Linked DNA regions of Mus musculus. The protein of the gene in region 4 binds, or shares a complex with, the protein of the main gene of each other region. Links are inferred from orthologs where the notes say so. Each region holds a gene or a part of one and is shown on either strand. Other genes may lie near its edges. The genes, in order: Zbp1, Aim2, Ripk3, Ripk1 and Mefv.

Region 1 (2,825 bases), on a different chromosome or scaffold from region 4:
TCAGTGAGTTGACCAAAAGCCAGCATATAGATCCAGGCTGCAGGGAGGATGCAGGTATAGACACCAAGGTAATGAAGAGCCACAGAGGGGCTTTGCTCAGGACTTTGAAGGAAGCAGAGACCTTTTGGACTTGGAGTAAGATCGCATAGTCCTACATATGGGTAGTTAGGATTAGCATGGAGAGACCAGGATATCTGGATGTAAGGTAGATACGGTCTCCTGATGGTGAAGTGCTGCATGGTTTACATAGTGAGAATGGGCCACAGGTGTCATGGGTCACAGTCGCCAGGCCATCGTGGGTGTCATGGGTCACAGTCACCAGGCCCAGGCAAGGAACCCTTTGGGGAGCCATCATGGCTGCTCCTAGAGAGAAAATTATGAGCCCTGCCATCAAGGAAGCTCTGTAAGAGAACTAAAATAAGGAGCCAACAGGGACCTGCCAACAAATCCGGGGGAAGGGTTGCAAGTGTAAAAATGGCAGGTGCCAAAACCCGAGGGGAGAAGCACAGAGCAGGAGTCTGGGAAACAAGAGGGACCCAGGAGCCTAAAGCCTTGGTGGGTACCCACCAGGCCCTTTCAGAGCCTGAAGGCATGTGCAAAATGTCTCCATCTTATTTGAAATGAACTGGGAGACATGCAAGGTGTGAACAGAGGTGTGTGGTATAGTATTTAAGTCTTACTGGGCCATCGAGATGGCTCAGTGAGTGCACACATTTGCTGCCAAGTCTGATGGCCCAGGACCCACATGGTAGAAGGAGAGAGCCAACTCCCACCTGTTGTCCTCTGACTTCTATACACAGACACACAGACACAGAGACACAGACACAGAGACACATCAGTCAATCAATCAATCAATCCATGTGTTGGGGAGTGTTATGTCTCCCATAGGACAGTTTGGGAACAAAGCCCTGGAGTGCATTCAAGCAGAAACCCCACCACTGTGCTTTCGGAGCAAACACTTCTGAGGAGTCTGCAGGGTACCTTCCTTTTCTCCCTGCCCCCAGGTACAAGCTCTGAAGCCACTCCACCCAGAAGCTGCCAGCACACGCCCAGTGACTCCATGCTGCCCACCTCTGAGCTGAGAGCTATGGCTCTGGGAGACAGTAGCCCCCAGACCACAGAACCTGTGCTTAGAGAGCATGAAGTCCAGGACATAGAAAGCTCTCAAGACACAGGACTGAGGTGAGGAAAGAGGTGGCAAGAGCACAGGCAGAGGTGGAGAGGCCTTTGGGACTTTTTTGTGGCTGTACACAGGGCCTGTACTAGATTTCTGTTGTGATTCAAGTGTGGTATTGTCCCTGGAAAGGCCAAGGATCAGCAACTTGGTCCTGTATGACTCCAAGATCATCCACACACCAGTCTCTCGATGGATTCACTGTCTGACAAGGATATCCATCCGGTCAGGGTAGAGACTTTGGGAAGCCAAAGAAAATGAGTCACTAAAGACATCAGGGTCTCATGTGGTCCAAACTGGCTTTGATTCACTCTGTCACCAAGGGTGACCTTGAATTCCTGATCTCCTGGCCTCCAATTCCTGAGTGCTGGAATCCTAGGCATGTACCACCAAGTCCAGTTTATGAGATGCTAAGGGGGAAACTTCATGCATGCCTCACAAGGGCTACCAATGCAGCCTCAGTCCCAGCTTGGGCCATGCCCCTTCCAGTCTCTCTAGTCATCTCTTCTTTCTGCCTTCCCAGCAAGCAATGAAGCTGTGGGACCATAGGCTGACCCCTCTGCCACTATAAGTCAAATCAACCTTTCCTGCCTCAAGATCAATCAATCGATCAACCGCAGGAGCCAGTTCTACCACTCCTGGATGCTCACCCAAAGGCAAAAGTCAACACAGAGAGATCTCCGCATATCCATGTAGATTGGGACACTGTTCACAGCAGCTAAGAAGTGGAACCGACCTTGCTACCCAGCAGTAAAAGATGGGTGAATTGGAGTATGCACACAGCCATGGGAAATACTGAGGCTGTCATTGGCCAGAAGAGGATGTGACCAGAGGCCACCATGTTGAATGAATGAAAGCCATCTTAGAAAGACAAGGGCCACATTTTCTCTGTTGTGGCTCCTAGACTTTAGATAGATTTATAAAATCATATACACAGATGTGACATGAAAGTACATGTAACACCAACCAGGGGATGAGGATGGTGCATGGGGAGGAGAGGCGGGGGTCACAGCCTGGGGGGGGGTCACGGTCTGGGAGGGTGTCACCACCTAAAGAGATCACAGCTGGGGGGATCAGGGCCGGGAGGGGGGACACTGCTGAATGCACTGTACTTTTATAAAAAGGTGTACCTCTGAAACCCAGGCTAGTGTTTCTTTCAACTAAAGAGCATCAAGCCACTGAGAAAACGGATTTAAAGCATTAAACCAGAGGCGGGCGAGATGGCCCTGCAGTAAAGGTGCTTGCCCCCTGTCATGGTTTGAATATGCTTGGCCTAGGAAGTGGCACTGTTAGGAGGTGTGGCCCTGTTAGAGTAGGTGTGTCACTGTGGGTGTGGGCTTAAGGCCCTCACTCCAACTGCCTGGAAGTCAGTCTTCCATTAGCAGCCTTCAGATGAAGATGTAGAACTCTCAGCTCTGCCTGCCTGGATGCTGCCACACTCCCCCCTTGATGATAATGAACTGAACCTCTGAACCTGTAAACCAGCCCCAGTTAAATGTTGTCTTTTATAAGACTTGCCTTGGTCATGGTATCTGTTCACAGCCATAAAACCCTAACTAAGATACTCCCAAGTCCCATGACAAGGGTAGGCTATTGTTCACAGTTGATGCCCTACACAAAGCTGAGGGGCCCGTTAGTCTCCTCTGCCTTC
Region 2 (4,266 bases), on a different chromosome or scaffold from region 4:
TAGGCTATGAACTCCCTGGTAAAGCAGGAAATAACTTTTGTGGAGTTCCCTATATCTAAAATACCTCTGGTTGAGACCTCACAGCTGGAGGAGAAACTCTGCTGAGGCTTGTAAAAAGGAAACTGAAAACTAGCATTTGCTTGGGCAGAGCCTTAATATATAATTATTTTGCCCCAGCATCAGGGTTTAGGACTCAGCTATAGGGCCAGGACTAGCCAAGCTTCAAAGTGAAAGAAGATAGTTGAGAGTACTTTCTGCTTTCTGTCTCCCAAGACCTGATTTTCATGATTTTCATGTCCTACTACTCATAGTGAAAATCTTTGTGAGGCGGATGGTTTGAACTCTCAGGACATACACCAGTCCCTGAGTTGAGAACTAAGGCTGCTTTGGAGAGAAGAAAATCCCCTGAGGTAAGTAAGATATGTCAGAAGTTTTCTAGAGAAAGCTTTAGGACCATTTTGCTAATCAGTAAATTAAGAGGAAAGAGAGTCCTGGGTTTCTGAGGTTAGAAAGAGGGATTAGTATTGACTGTATTCTAGAAAAGAATAAGGCTGCAGGAAGCCTGGTTCTAAACCTTCAGTTGACTGAGGAACAGAAGTTATCTTTTATTGCACCACAACTGAGACCTTTACAAAAGAAAGTGCATTTGGCCGTGGCAGGAATTAGAATATATTGTTCAGAGGGTTGACCCAGACTGAGCCTAAAAGGAACTCTGATTTTCTGGGTGTGTTGGTCTGTAGGTGTTTTATTGACATGAATTTATATTTAGAAGAGGGCTTTTGATTTCTAGCTGAAGGGGGAAGAAACATAGGGGCCAGGGAGCTATTTCTCGATAAAAGGTGAGAATAATGGCATGACAGAAAGCCTGTGATGTAACGTTAGCTTGAAAGCATCAGAGCTCAAAATTCTAAGTAACCTTAATCTAAGAAGAAAATATCTAATAAAAAAAATGTGGGGAAAAAAAAACCCAGCATGGTAGTAACACAAAAGAACAATTAAAAAAAAATCAGACACGGAATCAAATAGAAAAAAAAAAAAAAAAAAAAGAAAGAAATGCCAAGCAGATAATGTTACTCCATAATCCCAAATGTTCAAGTGACATGGCATCTTTTAAAAATTATATGTGCTTTTAATCTCTATTTCCTTTACTTTATTAGGTAATAGCAAGTTTATTTCAGTCTAGTTCCAATTGGATCCTGCTTTCCCATTTCCATAGTTAAATCCCTGGAATTTGGGGGAAGGATCATTCCTATGGTATCTGTTGAGGTTTGAATATATGCCGGCTGGTGGCTCCGGAAGGTCTTGGGACTTTCACAAGGAGGAACTTACTGGAGAAACCTTATTGGAGGAAGTGGGTCACTGAGGGCGGCCTGTGAGAGGTGATAGGCGGTCTCACTTGTAACTCTGTTTCTTTGTCTGAGCAAGAATCACAACCTGCCTGCTTCCTGTCCTGCCTGCTTCCTGTCCTGTCTGCCGCCATGCTTCCTTAACTAGCTGCTAGGTTTTTTCCTTGTCGTGATGAAATCCACCCTCATGGACCTGTAAGTAAAATTAAAACCTACTTCTCCCCTATGTTGCTAATGTTCATGACATTTTATCAAAACAGAAAAGAAACTAATACAGCAAAATGCTGGGTCCTGTTTACATATCCAATTCTGTCTTTTGCGGGGAACTGAAAAGAGATATTAAGGAAAAGTGATTGCTAAGAGATATTTAAGGAAAAGTGATTGCTACTTCCTGTTATTTTTGTTGTTAGAGGTGGAATTATATCTGTGTGGCTATATTCTTTTAGTTTTTTTGAAAGATTACTTTCTTGCTTTTTTCTAGGGTGTAGTTTCCCTCTTGTGTTGGTGTTTTCCATCTATTATACTTTGTAGGGCCGGATTTATGAGAAAATATTGTGTAAATTTGGTTATGTCATGGAATATTTTGGTTTCTTCATCTATGGTAATTGAGATTTTTGCTGGGTATAGTAGCCTGGGCTGCCATGTGTATTCTCTTAGGGTCTATATGAAATCTACCCAGGATCTTCTGGCTTTCATAGTCTCTGTGGAGAAGTCTGGTGTAATTCTGATAGGTCTGACTTTATGTTACTTGACCTTTTTCCCTTACCACTTTTAATATTCTTTTTTTGTTTGGTGCATTTGGTGTTTTGATTATTATGACAGGAGGAATTTCTTTTCCGGTCCAGTTTGGAGTTCTGTAGACTTCTTGTATGTTCATGAGCATCTTTTTGTTTAGGTTAGGGGAGTTTTCTTCTATATTTTTGTTGAAAATCTTTACTGGCCCTTTAAGTTGGGAATCTTCGCTCTCTTCTATACCTATTATCCTTAGGTTTGATCTTCTCATTGTGTCCTGGATTTTCTGGATGTTTTGGGTTAAGAGCTTTTTGCATTTTCTTTGACTGTTTTGTCAATATTTTCTATGGTATCTTCTGCATCTGAGATTCTGTCTTCTATCTCTTGTATTCTGTTGGTGATGCTTGCATCTATGACTCTTGATCTCTTTTGTAGGTTTTCTAACTCCAGGGTTGTCTCCCTTTGTGATTTCTTTATTGTCTCTATTTCCATTTTTAGATCTTGGATGATTTTGTTCATTTCCTTTACCTGTTTGATTGTTTTTTCCTGTAATTCTTTAAGAGATTTTTGTGTTGCCTCTTTAAGTGCTTATAGCTGTTTACTGTGTTCTCCTGTATTAAATATTCATTAATGATATTTTTAGGGTATGAAAGGATATCAATATAAAAGTTGAACACATTTTTACAGACTATTTGATTCTCAAAATGCTCAATATTATTAATATGTTTGATGTATAAAATACATTTAAATATTAAAAATTGAAGAAAAAAAAGAAACTAATACAGTAACTACTCTTTGGAACTCAGTGATAACCTTTGTGCCCTTACCGAAAGTGTGGTAAGTATTTCTAAGTATCAGAACATAGTTGTTAATTATGTTGTTCAACTTTTCTACTTTTTTGCTTTTTGTTTTATTTTATTCTTGGCTATTTAAAGCGTTAGTTACTGAAGGAAATGTTTTGTAATTTCTGACCATCATGGTACATTTGCCATTTGTTAGTGGAGAACTGTCAAATTTTGTTTACAACTGTTGACTTTATTCAATGAGGTGCTTACTGTTTAGAATTGTTGGTTATATTACCTTGATGACTTTAACATTTAATTGTTGTATAGCAACTCTGTCCTTAATGGCACTATTTGTCTTATAGTCTTCTCTGACTAATATTGATAGAGCTGCTCTAACTAGAGTTTTTGTGCTTAGTGCCTGATACATATGTTCACGTATTTTTTGCTTTGCAGCTACTCAGCACTTCAATTTCCCCCACTGTGTCTTTTTTAAACACCACAGGCACCACAGTGGGTTTTATTCCAGTTTAGCATTCTTTTTAAACCCATGAGTCTAATTCATGTGCGTTCTGTCAGTTGAAATGTTTGAATCTTGTGTAACCATCTTATATCGCTTCATATGATATTTCCATGTTTGTTTTCTTCTTTTTAAAAATACACTTAAGATTATTCTTTACACAGAATGATGCATATTATGTTAGTCATGTTTTTAAAAGTCCCATTTATACATCTTGTGGGGAAACGCCATTTATCATTATCCCAGAATAATGCTTTCTGATGTACTTTTTGGTGAAACTGAATAACATCACATTTACTGCTTCAATAAGGTAAACTAGCATACAGCCAGTCACTGCAAAGTGAATAATCCATTGTGATTTAGTACATAGATAAGGCTGTATACCTTCCCTTAGATCTAGCTCCAAGATATAAGAATTACTCTTTCTATTTATCTCTGTAATTGTTTAAATGTTACCTCCTCAAATAGACATAGTCTGACGACCAACTTGAGTTACACTACACAGCCCCAGCCTGTACACTACACAGCTATACATACTTGTATTTGTTGTGGGGATAGTGAAGAAATCTTGCCTGATTCATGACTCATTTCCTCTAAGACTTACAAGATGCCTTACTGGACAAAACGAACTGATTGGTGAACAACAGCAGTTGATTTACTAGTTTATCCCTCAAGTGCATATCTTTTCCATTTTTATTTTCAAAAGGAGTTTTGGAAGTTTTTACACCATAGGGATAGCTGTTTAGTCACAGACAAGTGTATAGGGAGTGTAGAGCAAAGCACAGGATTTTTGGGATACTCCCATGAAGCAACTGCATAATCTGTGGTGGGGGCAGCCCATCCTGTGGCAATCATTCTCAGGAGAAGGCATGTTGGTACTGGCATG
Region 3 (4,280 bases), on a different chromosome or scaffold from region 4:
CAAACTCCTTATGTAGACCAGGCTGGTCCTAGAGGTCTGCCTGCCTCTGCTTCCTGAGGGCTGGGATTAAAGGTGTGCACCACCAGTCCTGTTACCCAACAGTCTGACACTCTAGGATCTTGAAAAGCTTTCATGGAGAATATATGCCATGCTTGCCTGAAGCATGAATCAGAGTATTTACTTGCCAAAGGTATCACACAAGGGGAAGGGTGGGAAGCCCTTAGAGCTGCTACAGAGGCCATCACAGCAGCAGTGGCTCGATTGCAGGGCCAGCACACCTATCCTCATTACAACACCCTGGCATAGACCCTGGGCCTTCCAGCTCCACAACCCCTACTTAGTAGCTGCTCTTGCTGAGCAGGGATTCCAAGAGGTCCTTTAGTGCATACTGCGTGCCTCATACCTTACCTGCACCACAGGTAGATTTATATAGCCCAGAGGCATTGTCAAGAAGAATAAGCTAACTTGAGCTGGAGTGTGTGTGTGTGTGTGTGTGTGTGTGTGTGTGTGCCGCTTAGTAGGCAAAATTCTTGTCATGCAAGCATGAGGACCTGAACTCATATTCCCACAACTAAAGTGACATTGGGGACAGTAGCCCATGTATACCATGCCAGTGTTCCTACAGCAAGATGAGAGACAGGAGAATACTGGGACATTAACAGGCTAACACATAGCATTATGCACACAGCAGAGAACAAACTGACCCTATCTCAAACAAGGTCGAACACCTACACACACACACACACACACACACACACACACACACCATGACATGCACCCCTTCACCACATGCATGGTCATGCACACACATAAATAAATTTTAAGATAAATAAGAAAGCCAAGCATGGTGGCGTACACCTTTAATCCCAGCATTTAGTCAGGAGGCAGATGCAGATGGCTCTCTGTGAGTTTGAGTCAACCTGGTCTGTATACTCGAGTCCCAGATCAACCAGGGCTCCAAAAAGAGACCCTGTCTCAAAAGTAAGTAAGTAAGTAAGTAAGTAAGTAAGTAAGTAAATAAATAAATAAATAAATAAATAAAATAAGGGCTACCTTGGTGGAGCAGAACTCGGTTCTAAACTAGTCCCATACTTACTTGGCCAAGCGATTTAAACTTTAAGTACTTGGGTTTCCTCCTCTATAGAAAAGAAAACACGGTTGATCTAAGAAGCCAGTATGTGTACCTGGCCCAAGACAACCCTTACTAGAAGCGTTACTCCGTGATCTTAGGACCATAAAATCCTCCTGATCTCCATCCTCCCTTCATCAAAATGTGGTTGGCAAGCGGTGGAGCTAAGGGGTCCAAGAGAGACTGGCTATCGTGGGGAGTCAATCGTTCCTGGATGGTGAGGACACCTTTTGTGGCACGCCCAGTGCCTGGGCGCTTCTCGGGTGGAAGCAGTTTCAAGGCACGTGCACAGGAAATAGCCCCAAAGTTTTCAATGCTCCACCCCAGGGGGCGGAGATAGAAGGAGCCTCTTATTTGAAAGGGAAGTTGTGAAGTCGCTCATTCAAAGTCCGGGGGAGCGACCTGGGAAGCGGAATTCGGGGCCTGAACCTCCGTGCCTTGACCTACTGATTGTTCCCTTTGCAGACCCTGCCTTCCTCTCAGTCCACACTCCGAGCCGTAGACGTCGGGTTTCCAGCTCCGTCTGTGCACACATAACTCCAGGAAGCCGCTAGCTCCCGACGATGTCTTCTGTCAAGTTATGGTGAGTGGGGAGTGAGCTGTGTCTCCGGCACACCCACACAGGTGGCCCGGGGACACACTCAAAGGACGCCTTTTCTGAGGCAGGGGACAAAGCTGGGGGTGAGGCGGGCAGCAGTGGGGAGGCTAGACTCGCTGCCTACGCTGCCCACGCGCAGTCACGGAATCCCGGAGCTTGGGAGACAGAGGATGCGCTAGGCTGGGGGATGGGCCCCCTACCGGACAAGAACCTTTCTCAGGCCTACTGGTGCGTCAGCGGTTCCTCTGGTGAGCCGTGAAGAACTGAAGAAGCTGGAGTTTGTGGGTAAAGGAGGGTTCGGAGTCGTGTTCCGGGCACACCACAGAACATGGAACCATGATGTAGCAGTCAAGATCGTGAACTCGTGAGTGACCCCAGCTGTAGTCAGAGTGTGGTCACGAGCCTGAGTGGGGCAAGGGTGGGGTCTTCCAGAGCGCAATCCAATTTTGGCCCCCTTTCGGCGTGTAGGAAGAAGATATCCTGGGAGGTGAAGGCTATGGTTAATCTTCGTAATGAGAACGTTCTGCTCCTGCTGGGGGTCACTGAGGACCTCCAGTGGGACTTCGTGTCCGGGCAGGCTCTGGTGACAAGATTCATGGAGAATGGCTCCCTCGCAGGGCTGCTGCAACCCGAGTGCCCTCGGCCCTGGCCACTCCTCTGTCGCCTGCTGCAGGAAGTGGTGCTGGGGATGTGCTACCTACACAGCTTGAACCCTCCGCTCCTGCACCGGGACCTCAAGCCCTCTAACATTCTGCTGGATCCAGAGCTCCACGCCAAGGTTAGTCCATCTACAACCTAGTGTAGACTTGGGACCATGTTGAGTACCTGTCCCTCTGAATACAAGACTACACACATGACAAGACCCAACTAGGAGTTTTATTTCTAGTCATACCAGGTGACCCTCCTTACCAGACGCCCTTCTTAACCCCCTGGCTCAGTTCCACAGGCCTAATGCACCCTCACGGACCCAGGCTGACTTATCTCAGGCCTGCCCATCAGCAACTCAGATCTCCTGCTAAGTTCTCAATGACTTTACCTTCCCTCTGGTCCTCCATAACACCTTCCAAAAAGCTGAGGCTGCTGCATCTTCTGGGGAGCAAGAGAGGGAAAAATCTCTGACCCCCCCCTTCATCTAATACCTTCCCTTTCCTTTCCTTTACAGCTAGCAGATTTTGGCCTGTCCACGTTTCAGGGAGGGTCCCAGTCAGGGTCAGGATCAGGATCAGGATCCAGGGACTCTGGGGGCACCCTAGCGTACTTGGACCCAGAGCTGTTATTTGATGTCAACCTGAAGGCTTCTAAAGCGAGTGATGTCTACAGGTAAACCATCCACCCCAAACACACTCCAAATCTCTATACCAATTTGGGCCCTTCTAAAGGGAATGATACAGGAAAGAAGTCTCGCCAGAGGCCATCTAAGCCTCCATTTGTGTCTGTACAGCTTTGGGATCCTCGTGTGGGCAGTGCTGGCTGGCAGAGAAGCTGAGTGTAAGACTCCAAATGGAGTACCCGAAAGCACCTAAACCCCCCTGGAGCCCTCCCTTTTACCCTGACCCACTAACACACTGCCCTCTTCCCACCTCACCTCTCACTTGGATGACTCTCCCTGCTCCTGTCCGCGATAGAATGGGCTGTCCCCTCATTTCATGAATTCCTTATGTTATCCCCCAACTCCAGTGGTAGACAAGACTTCACTAATCCGGGAAACAGTGTGTGACAGGCAGAGTCGTCCTCCACTGACAGAGCTGCCTCCAGGTAGCCCTGAGACTCCCGGCTTGGAAAAACTGAAGGAGTTAATGATTCATTGCTGGGGTTCCCAGTCCGAAAACAGGCCATCCTTCCAGGGTGAGTTGGCCGTATCTCTGGCAACTAGGGTAGGCTTGGGTCTTCAGCAGGGAGCTCCTCCAAGGAAAGAAATCCGACTCATATACAACTCGCTGTTGTCTTTCAGACTGCGAACCAAAAACCAATGAAGTTTACAATCTGGTAAAGGACAAGGTAGATGCTGCTGTCTCCGAGGTGAGTTTCTAGCACTGCCTTCCCATCCAGGAACTGTTGGGAGATGGCACAAGTGGCTCCCTTAACCATTCAGTTTATCTTCACTGGCCACCATTATTTAATCCTTGGTTGTCATTCCCATTCACCAGAACCTACTCCTTAGTCTCCAGAGACCAAGAAAATTTTCACTGGGGTTTACTTTGGCTGCCCCAGCTCCTGACAACAAGGTCCCCCTGTCTGCACAGGTAAAGCATTATCTGTCTCAGCACAGAAGCAGCGGCAGAAACTTGTCTGCCAGAGAGCCAAGCCAAAGAGGCACAGAAATGGATTGCCCGAGGGAAACCATGGTTTCTAAAATGCTGGACCGCCTGCATTTGGAGGAACCCTCCGGACCAGTTCCTGGAAAATGTCCTGAGAGGCAAGCACAGGACACATCAGTTGGGCCTGCCACACCAGCAAGGACATCTTCTGACCCCGTGGCTGGCACTCCTCAGATTCCACATACTTTACCCTTCAGAGGCACAACACCTGGGCCAGTCTTTACTGAGACTCCCG
Region 4 (4,076 bases):
TCTGTGGCCTCTAGGAGAATCTGCACTCTATTATATACACACTCGTAAATAAAACAAACAAAAAACTTAAGGAAAAACAATGTACAGGAACCTGAAGAAGATAGCTCATGGTTCCTTCAGCAAAGTGCTTTCCATGGCAACATATGGATCTGAGTTCAATCCCCAGCACTCATACAGAAACAAACAAACAAAACTGGCCATGGAGACACCCCTGGTGCCTCTTGCCTTGGCCAGACAGCTTAGTCCATTCCACAAGCAAAAGGTAAAAGTAATACCTTGTATGGAAAAGAAAAAGATGCATTGTAAGAAGGAGCTAACTGGAGGTGGGCTCCTGGCCTCCCATATGTGGAGTTTTATACACACACACACACACACACACACACACCCAATCCCACCCGGAAAGAACTCCAAACAAACAAACAAACAAAAAACCCAACTTAAGTACATGTGTTTATACACTAGATGTATGTTCATTTGGGTACATACCTGTATGTGAAACTGATAAATCATACAGTAACCATAAAGGTTTTGCATTCTTTGCAGGAATGTATGTGATTTTCAGTTAGTGTACGTTTTTGTTAACATCGGTGAATGTTTGGGATTTGGGGGCATTTTATGTGTACTCTACATCAAAGTTGAGTTCCCCTAATGTCCTTTGACATTGAGCATCTTTTTAATGCTTATTTGTATGGTGAGGTATCTGGTAAAATGGCTGTGAATTTTCTTAAAGTGGTCGTGTGTATGGTTTAATAAGACTCCTTTATCGTGTCTTTTGTGGCCCTCTCTCTGTCTTGTCATATTTATCTTTTGACAATAAGGGATCACTGGACTATCGTGCAACTTTCTTCTTAATGACACCTGCAGCAACACAGTTTCTGCTTGGGGTTTCAACTACTATTTTCGAGGGCTACAAATTAATCACGTTTCTTCCTCGACAGGCTGCTGTGGTGGACGAACGATAATTTACCAGTGGTTCTGTCACCGTGTCACCTCTGAACCCACAAAGCTTGCAAAGGCCACTGTCGCACACAGCGCTATCTAGCGGGCCAAGCGGTCTCCGCCCTGACATATAGCAGCTATGACCGCCGTATTATTTTTTTTAAGGGCTCTCTCAGAACTCGCTCAGAAAGCAAGGCAAAAGTGCCATTCCTTCCGCCCGCGGGCCTCCGGGATGGTCGTGCTGCGAACCTGGCATGCTCAGTAGAGCTCAATGCCCAGCTGGGAGGCTGGCGCTCGCCCGTGCACACAGCCCCGGGGCGTGAGCAGAGGCGGAGACAGGGGCGGCCGCAGCCTAGCACCACCCCAGTAGTCCTTAGAGGAGGACCAGCGGCCCCCGGAACGGCCTCGGGAGCGCGGGTGTCGGTGCCGCTCACCTCCCGGGAGTCCAGCGGCGGTGCGGACCCGCGGAGGTGCGAGCTGGACGCGGCGGGAGGCGGCAGGCTGTGGGGGACCTGCGAGTGGCTGGGCGCCACTTCAGCACCGAACTCCGACCGGTCCTCGTCAGGGCCCAGGGCCGTCCCGGCCGGGCAGCCACGGCGAGGCGCCGCTCCTGACGTCCACCGCCCGTCCTTCCTCACCTAGGCCGGGGTACTTGGCCGCGGGAAGGCCTCTGAGGTAAGTCAGCGCGGGGGTCGAGGCCAGGGGCGCCGCCGCTAGTTTCCTCAGAAGCTGGTTTCCCGGAAGGGGCGGAGGCCGCGCGATTTCTGCGCGTGGACCGGAGGGCGGGGCTCGTTGTTTCCGGAAGCCGGGTGGCGGGCGGGACTTCAAACGTTCCCGGAAATCGAAAAGCGCGGAACTTGCTGTCATCTAGCGGGAGGTTGGACTCTTCTTGAGGTCGTTTTAGCTCAAGTCGAGACTGAAGGTGCGCCGTAGCCATGGTTACAGAGTGACTATGGAACGATTATTTTGGTAGGAATGACAGCTTCTTGAAGCTTTAGGACCCCAACAAGACTACCTAAATGTAACCTATCAACCCTGGACCTACCAGCTCTTTAAAAGGGTCTATTCCTGTTGTCTTGGGGCAGCAGGTGGCAGAGCAGTCGGTAGCTTTCATCGTTATTTTTGAGGTGAGCTGGCAAATCAGGAGTGATCTACGACCTCAACGAGAGACCAGTGTCAAACATCCAAGGCTTCTCTGGTCCTCAGTAGCATTTGCATTTATGGGTTGCTGCAGACCTTTTCTGAGTTGTGAAAAAGATAAGCCACATCCTCCTCACCTAAGCGTTGGACAGAGCCCACTGAGGATGGATGGTGCAGCCCAGGGTGACTCATTCTTTGTGTCTTGCAGATCATTTGATTTTCTTGCTCTTTTACTTTGTGCAAAGAGTTGAAGCTGTTTTAATCAAGAAATTCCACAAAAGACCTTTAGGAAAGTATTCTTTCTTAACACATGAAGACTCGATGGTAGAGTGAACTTTGGGATGCAATGACTTAATTGTGTAATTCTGTAGCCCCTGGAAAGATACTACTAAGGCTTGTGAGAAAGGTGAACTATCACAGCTGTATTGTATGTAGAAATATACTAGTCTTATTGAAAATGAAATTTGGGATGTTTTGTTTGTATGACTGACAAAAACAGTAGTAACAATTCTTAACTTTAATTTCCATTTTTCTCATTCTTTGCTACTTTGAGCCTTACACATAATGTTAAGCTTTCAAGATTGTAATAAGATATGTGCCCAAGGTAACAACTTACAAACTGGGCACAGTACTATTACACCTTAGTTAATGTCTCCTTAATATCTCCAGTAGGATCTGGAATTTGAAGCAAATATATAGTTTCCCACACATCGGTAGGATATCATTCTGGCAGATGTGTCTTACTATAAAAACATGGATATAATACTAAGTTTTTTTTAAATTTAATCTGTACATCCCCATGTTTTTAAAATGTAGAATATTCAATTAATCTGGGTAAGTCCATATGATTTTATATGTTTGTTTGTTTGTTTGTTTATTGTTTTTGAGACTGGGTCTCTTTGTGTAGCCTTTGCTATCCTGAAGCTAGCTATGTAGAAGGCCAGGCTGGCCTTGAATTCCCAGAGATCTACCTGCCTCTGTCTTCCTGGTGTCCGGATGGAAGGCATGTGTCACTATGCCTGGAATACCATGGCACACTATGCCTGGCAACAATTTCGTCTTTGCATTGGGGGTTTTCAAAAGAAAATTATTAGTTGCCTTTCTAGAAAAAAATATTAAAGAACTGAGAGTGAAAGCCTGAGAGAAGGGGTAAGGTGAATTCAATTCGGGTGAATCATTTAACCTCAACTTGTAATTTCTTTATTTGTAAATTGAAAATAGTCTTGATAAATTAATTCACAGACCACAATGTGCTGATGTGTTTGATCATACTTTGTTAAATTTTATTCCACCTTGTCTTTTGTTGGTGGTTTGATTCCTTGTTCAATGCCCTTTTGTGAAACAAGCACAGGCTGTTTTAATTAAAGAACCTTGGATGCAGCGAGCCACTGATATGTCACTTACCTGAGTAAAATCAGAATTCTTCTAAGAAGGAAGTAGGGCACAGCTAGCAGTTGACATTCTTTGTCCTCCTGCTCTTATTATACAAGATAGTCACTGAAAATTTAAGTGAAAATTAGTTGGGTTTTAAAAGGAGTGCAGCCATTAAAAGGGATATGTACACACGAATATACAACTTTTTTTTCTAAAACAAGGTCTCGCTATATAGCCCTGACTGGTCTGGAACTCACTAAGTAAGCGTGAACTTAAACAGTATTATATGTAAATATAATGTAGACTTATTTTGCCAGTGTTCATTTTGAAATTTCTGATTCATTTCAGTGGAAAAAAATTAACTTTCCTGTGGTTCTGACTTAATAATCATTTATCTCAAAACATTAGCAAATTCCATTGAGACATGACATTAGTTAAAGTTAGTTATCACTTACTATAACAGGTAAATATGACTTAGTTAAGTCTTTAAAATGGTGTTTGATTATCTGGCTTCCTACCTTACATTCAGTGGTTTTGCAATCCTTGGGTCTACCTCAATAAACTGCCCACATGGCTCTCTCAAAATACACTGCTAATAGACTGAATGGGCATTACCAGTAGAG
Region 5 (3,514 bases), on a different chromosome or scaffold from region 4:
GTGGTACATATACGCATGCATTCAGGCAAAATATTGTTCACATAAAAATAGTTAAATCTTAAGATAGTTAAACTTTAAATTGCTGTGAAGAGACACTTATGACAGAAAGCATTTAATTGGGGCCTCATGGTTCTAGAAGGTTAGAGTCCTTGAGCATCATGGCTGGAAGCATGGCACCAGGCAGGCAGGCTTGGTGCTGAAGCAGTAGCTGAGAGCTTACATCTAATCTATATGCATTAGGCCAAGAAAGAGGGGGTCAAAGAGAGAAGAGAGAGACAGAGACAGAGACAGAAAGAGACAGAGAGACAGAGGAGATGGAGATGGGGAGAGACAGAGAAAGAAAATTGGAAAGGGTGTGGGTTTCTGAAACCTCAAAGCTCAACCTCAGTGACATACCTCTTCCAAAGACCATACCTACTAATCCTTCCCCAACAGTTCCACCAACTGTGGATCAAACATTCAAATATATGAGCCTTATAGGAGCCATTCTCGTTCAAATGTCACACTGAGAAAGCCTGCCTCTCATCCATCTCTATCAGATGATCTTGGAGGGCATTCCTAGATACATACTTCCAGCACACAGCACACACCCACACATCTCCCAATCCTATGTTCCCCAGAAACAAACAGAAATCCAGAAGCAGAAGATTTCATGTCCACTTGAGAAGCTATACCAACTCCTGGAGAAGCAAGAACAACTCTTTGTGACCTGGCTACAGGAGCTAAGCCAGACCATCAGCAAGGTCAGAGAGACATACTACACCCGGGTTTCCCTACTGGATGAGATGATTGAAGAACTAGAGGCCAAGCAAGACCAGCCAGAGTGGGACCTCATGCAGGTCAGTGTGAGTGTGCCTAGCCTTTGCCTGCCTTCTGTGAGCAATGGCATGACTTGGGCTCTTGAAATCCCACCCCCAAGCCAGGAAGCATGGCCATTAAGGCCTGGAATGGGACTTGGTCTCAGTGACCCACAGTGTCTTTTTGATGAGATCTCTCAGGAGCCCAGAACGTCTTAACATGTAGGATGCCCCTGGCATCACCCAAGAAAAGACGAGAAGAACTAGAGGGTGGTTGCACTGTGGGCTCAGGCAAGGCTTCCTTCCATCTTTGTGATTAGAATTACCATGAAGGAGAAACAATCCTGTTTACTGGCACCCTAGGACTGGGAGTCAGAGAGCAGCTTGCTGCTGGGGAGTCATAGCTCTTGGAGACTGTTAATAGAGAGCTTTCCTCTTTTCTCTCCTAGGACATTGGAATCACCTTGCACAGGTACTGAGAGATCCCATGGTGTCCCCTTGGGTGTCTTGCAGAAAGCATTTGGATGAGACAGTCCTACAAAGGAGCTGGATCTGTAACCCAGGACTCCTGTTTCCTAAAGCTTCCTGAGACTGTCATTCCTGGATTTGAGTGGGAAGAACAAAATGTATGGGCAGTGGGGAGGGCAGGAATGGACTGCTGAGAAGGAATTTATCCCAGGCCTGCCGAATTCAAGCGGTACTTTCCCAAGAAACCTCTCAAATGGATGCCATTTGTTTTACTACAGAGTTCTTAGAACTGCCTCTGGTCTCAAGCACTTTGGGATGGGGTGGGGGTGGGGATGTCCTTAGGGATCAATATGAAGGTGGATTAAGCCCAGCAGGCAGGGGAAAGAGAGGTGAACTGGAAAAGGAGTTACTTAGGAACTTTACAAAGTCCTGGTTTCCAAGCCACTGCTGCCCCAACTGAGTCTCAGTGTTGAGGTTGAGAGTTGGGGGTTAGTGGGGTTTTAAAAGTTATTTTTCCATAAAAATATGAATATCATAAAATATCAGTTATTTTATGCCTACAGTTCACTAATGTTAATATGGCTACATTGGTGTGCACCTGTTTGCACCGTCTAACTCCAGAACCTTTTTGTCTTCCCACATAGGAACTCTGTACCATTAAGTACTAGTTCCTCATCCTCCCTCCCCTGCTGCCTGGCAACCACTAGTCTGTTCTCCCTGTTTATTAGTTTGATTGTTCTAAATACCCCATATTATCAGAATCATTCAATGTTTGTCCTTTAGCCTTTGGCTTACTTTCACTCCGCACATTTTCACGGCTCCTTCACATTGTAGCTGTTTCAGAATCCCACTCTGTTTAATTGCCAAGTGACACCCCTTTGTATGCAGGTATCACATATTATTTGTTCATTTGTTTTTGCTGTTATAATGGCCATTCTAATAGGAGTGAAGTAGCATTTTGTTGTTCTTTTTCTTTCAATAGAAATAGTATAATTTGACATAGGGAACTCTGATAGCAAGACTAAACTCGGTTTTAAAGCTGCCACTTAAACTCATTGTGATTTCTATAACGGTGGTTCAGTGATGCTGATGTACAGCTGAGGTTGAGGACCAGTGCCAGAGCTTTGAGTCTAGGAAAGACTTCTTTGCATCACCCATACTGGGACGGTCTGTCACCTCACAGGGCCTCAGACAACATCTTGCTCGTATCTTCTCTGGCCGACAATCTCTTGTCTCTAGGGCTAAGATGATGTCTGCCTCTGAGCTGTTGGACACTCCTCCAGGTGTTAAAGAAAAGCTTCATCTGCTCTACCAGAAGTCAAAGTCTGTGGAGAAGAATATGCAGTGTTTCTCAGGTCAGTGAGCCTGGATGGAAATGGCAAGCCCTTGCTCATCTCCTCCCTGGGCTTCAGGCAGCTCAGAGCCTGTTCGGTCACTTCCCTACACAGCAAAACCTTTATGACCCCGCTTTCTTCTGATCCAACTCGTTCAGCTAACTCAGTTTCTTCTGTTTTTCTTTCTTAATTTTAGAAATGCTGAGCTCTGAAATGGCATTCAGCGCTTCAGATGTAGCAAAATGGGAAGGGCGCCAGCCTAGCGCCACACAGGTCCAGGGCTTGGTTCCCACCGTTCACCTAAAGTGTGATGGTGCACACACACAGGACTGTGATGTAGTATTTTACCCAGAACGGGAAGCTGGAGGATCAGAACCTAAAGATTACCTTCATCCTCAGCCAGCTCAAGACACACCTGAGCTACATGAGATCCATTCTCGGAACAACAAAAGAAAATTTAAATCTTTCCTGAAATGGAAACCTTCATTCGTAAGTTTGGTGGTAACAATCTAAGCAAGGATTTTTGTAATTATCCTTTATCTCTTGCTCTAGGGGAGCCATTCAGAAAAGGGAGGAATACACCTAGAATGGAAGCACAAAACAGGTCATAAAAGGCCCCAGAGTTCTGCCTTGTTGATTGAAGTAGTAGCTTCAGTGTTTAGGATGCCTGGGGGGCCTTGAATGACGTAGGATGCAGAGTCCAAGCAGGAGAATCCTGATCTTTCCTTGTGGGGAGAGTGTAATTCAGACCCCCTGAGTTGGTATACTACAAACTTTATTCAATCTTTCTTTCCTCCCCTCTGTAGTCCAGAACTGACTGGCGCTTAAGAACATGCTGGTAAATGCCTAAATCAAGGCAAGTAGTGGCCTTGGTATATTGGGTCCCTGTATGTTCCTATCCCCTATCACAATCTC

Evidence for each region.
Region 1: Ripk1 (region 4) and Zbp1 share a complex: the UniProt entries of both Homo sapiens proteins name them as parts of the AIM2 PANoptosome complex. The link is inferred for Mus musculus from reciprocal best matches to the Homo sapiens genes RIPK1 and ZBP1.
Region 2: Ripk1 (region 4) and Aim2 share a complex: the UniProt entries of both Homo sapiens proteins name them as parts of the AIM2 PANoptosome complex. The link is inferred for Mus musculus from reciprocal best matches to the Homo sapiens genes RIPK1 and AIM2.
Region 3: Ripk1 (region 4) and Ripk3 share a complex: the UniProt entries of both Homo sapiens proteins name them as parts of the AIM2 PANoptosome complex. The link is inferred for Mus musculus from reciprocal best matches to the Homo sapiens genes RIPK1 and RIPK3.
Region 5: Ripk1 (region 4) and Mefv share a complex: the UniProt entries of both Homo sapiens proteins name them as parts of the AIM2 PANoptosome complex. The link is inferred for Mus musculus from reciprocal best matches to the Homo sapiens genes RIPK1 and MEFV.

Annotation. Positions count from the first base shown.
Region 1 is NC_000068.7:173,206,099-173,208,923, reverse strand, and holds the end of Zbp1 (Z-DNA-binding protein 1), read left to right. Parts: intron 1-1,004; coding exon 1,005-1,182; intron 1,183-1,697; coding exon 1,698-1,707; 3' UTR 1,708-2,312; downstream 2,313-2,825.
Region 2 is NC_000067.6:173,419,146-173,423,411, forward strand, and holds the start of Aim2 (interferon-inducible protein AIM2), read left to right. Parts: upstream 1-1,458; 5' UTR 1,459-1,541; intron 1,542-4,266. UniProt on the Homo sapiens protein: Sensor component of the AIM2 inflammasome, which mediates inflammasome activation in response to the presence of double-stranded DNA (dsDNA) in the cytosol, leading to subsequent pyroptosis.
Region 3 is NC_000080.6:55,786,049-55,790,328, reverse strand, and holds the start of Ripk3 (receptor-interacting serine/threonine-protein kinase 3), read left to right. Parts: upstream 1-1,471; 5' UTR 1,472-1,692; coding exon 1,693-1,712; intron 1,713-1,866; exon of another isoform or gene 1,867-1,947; coding exon 1,948-2,091; intron 2,092-2,195; coding exon 2,196-2,505; intron 2,506-2,889; coding exon 2,890-3,047; intron 3,048-3,168; coding exon 3,169-3,215; intron 3,216-3,312; exon of another isoform or gene 3,313-3,404; coding exon 3,405-3,572; exon of another isoform or gene 3,573-3,678; coding exon 3,679-3,746; intron 3,747-3,970; coding exon 3,971-4,280. UniProt on the Homo sapiens protein: Serine/threonine-protein kinase that activates necroptosis and apoptosis, two parallel forms of cell death. Necroptosis, a programmed cell death process in response to death-inducing TNF-alpha family members, is triggered by RIPK3 following activation by ZBP1.
Region 4 is NC_000079.6:34,001,093-34,005,168, forward strand, and holds the start of Ripk1 (receptor-interacting serine/threonine-protein kinase 1), read left to right. Parts: upstream 1-1,270; 5' UTR 1,271-1,614; exon of another isoform or gene 1,615-1,702; intron 1,703-1,781; exon of another isoform or gene 1,782-1,861; intron 1,862-1,871; exon of another isoform or gene 1,872-2,066; intron 2,067-4,076. UniProt on the Homo sapiens protein: Serine-threonine kinase which is a key regulator of TNF-mediated apoptosis, necroptosis and inflammatory pathways.
Region 5 is NC_000082.6:3,708,119-3,711,632, reverse strand, and holds part of Mefv (pyrin), read left to right. Parts: intron 1-620; coding exon 621-839; intron 840-1,246; coding exon 1,247-1,269; intron 1,270-2,504; coding exon 2,505-2,620; intron 2,621-2,795; coding exon 2,796-3,088; intron 3,089-3,405; coding exon of another isoform or gene 3,406-3,437; intron 3,438-3,514. UniProt on the Homo sapiens protein: Involved in the regulation of innate immunity and the inflammatory response in response to IFNG/IFN-gamma.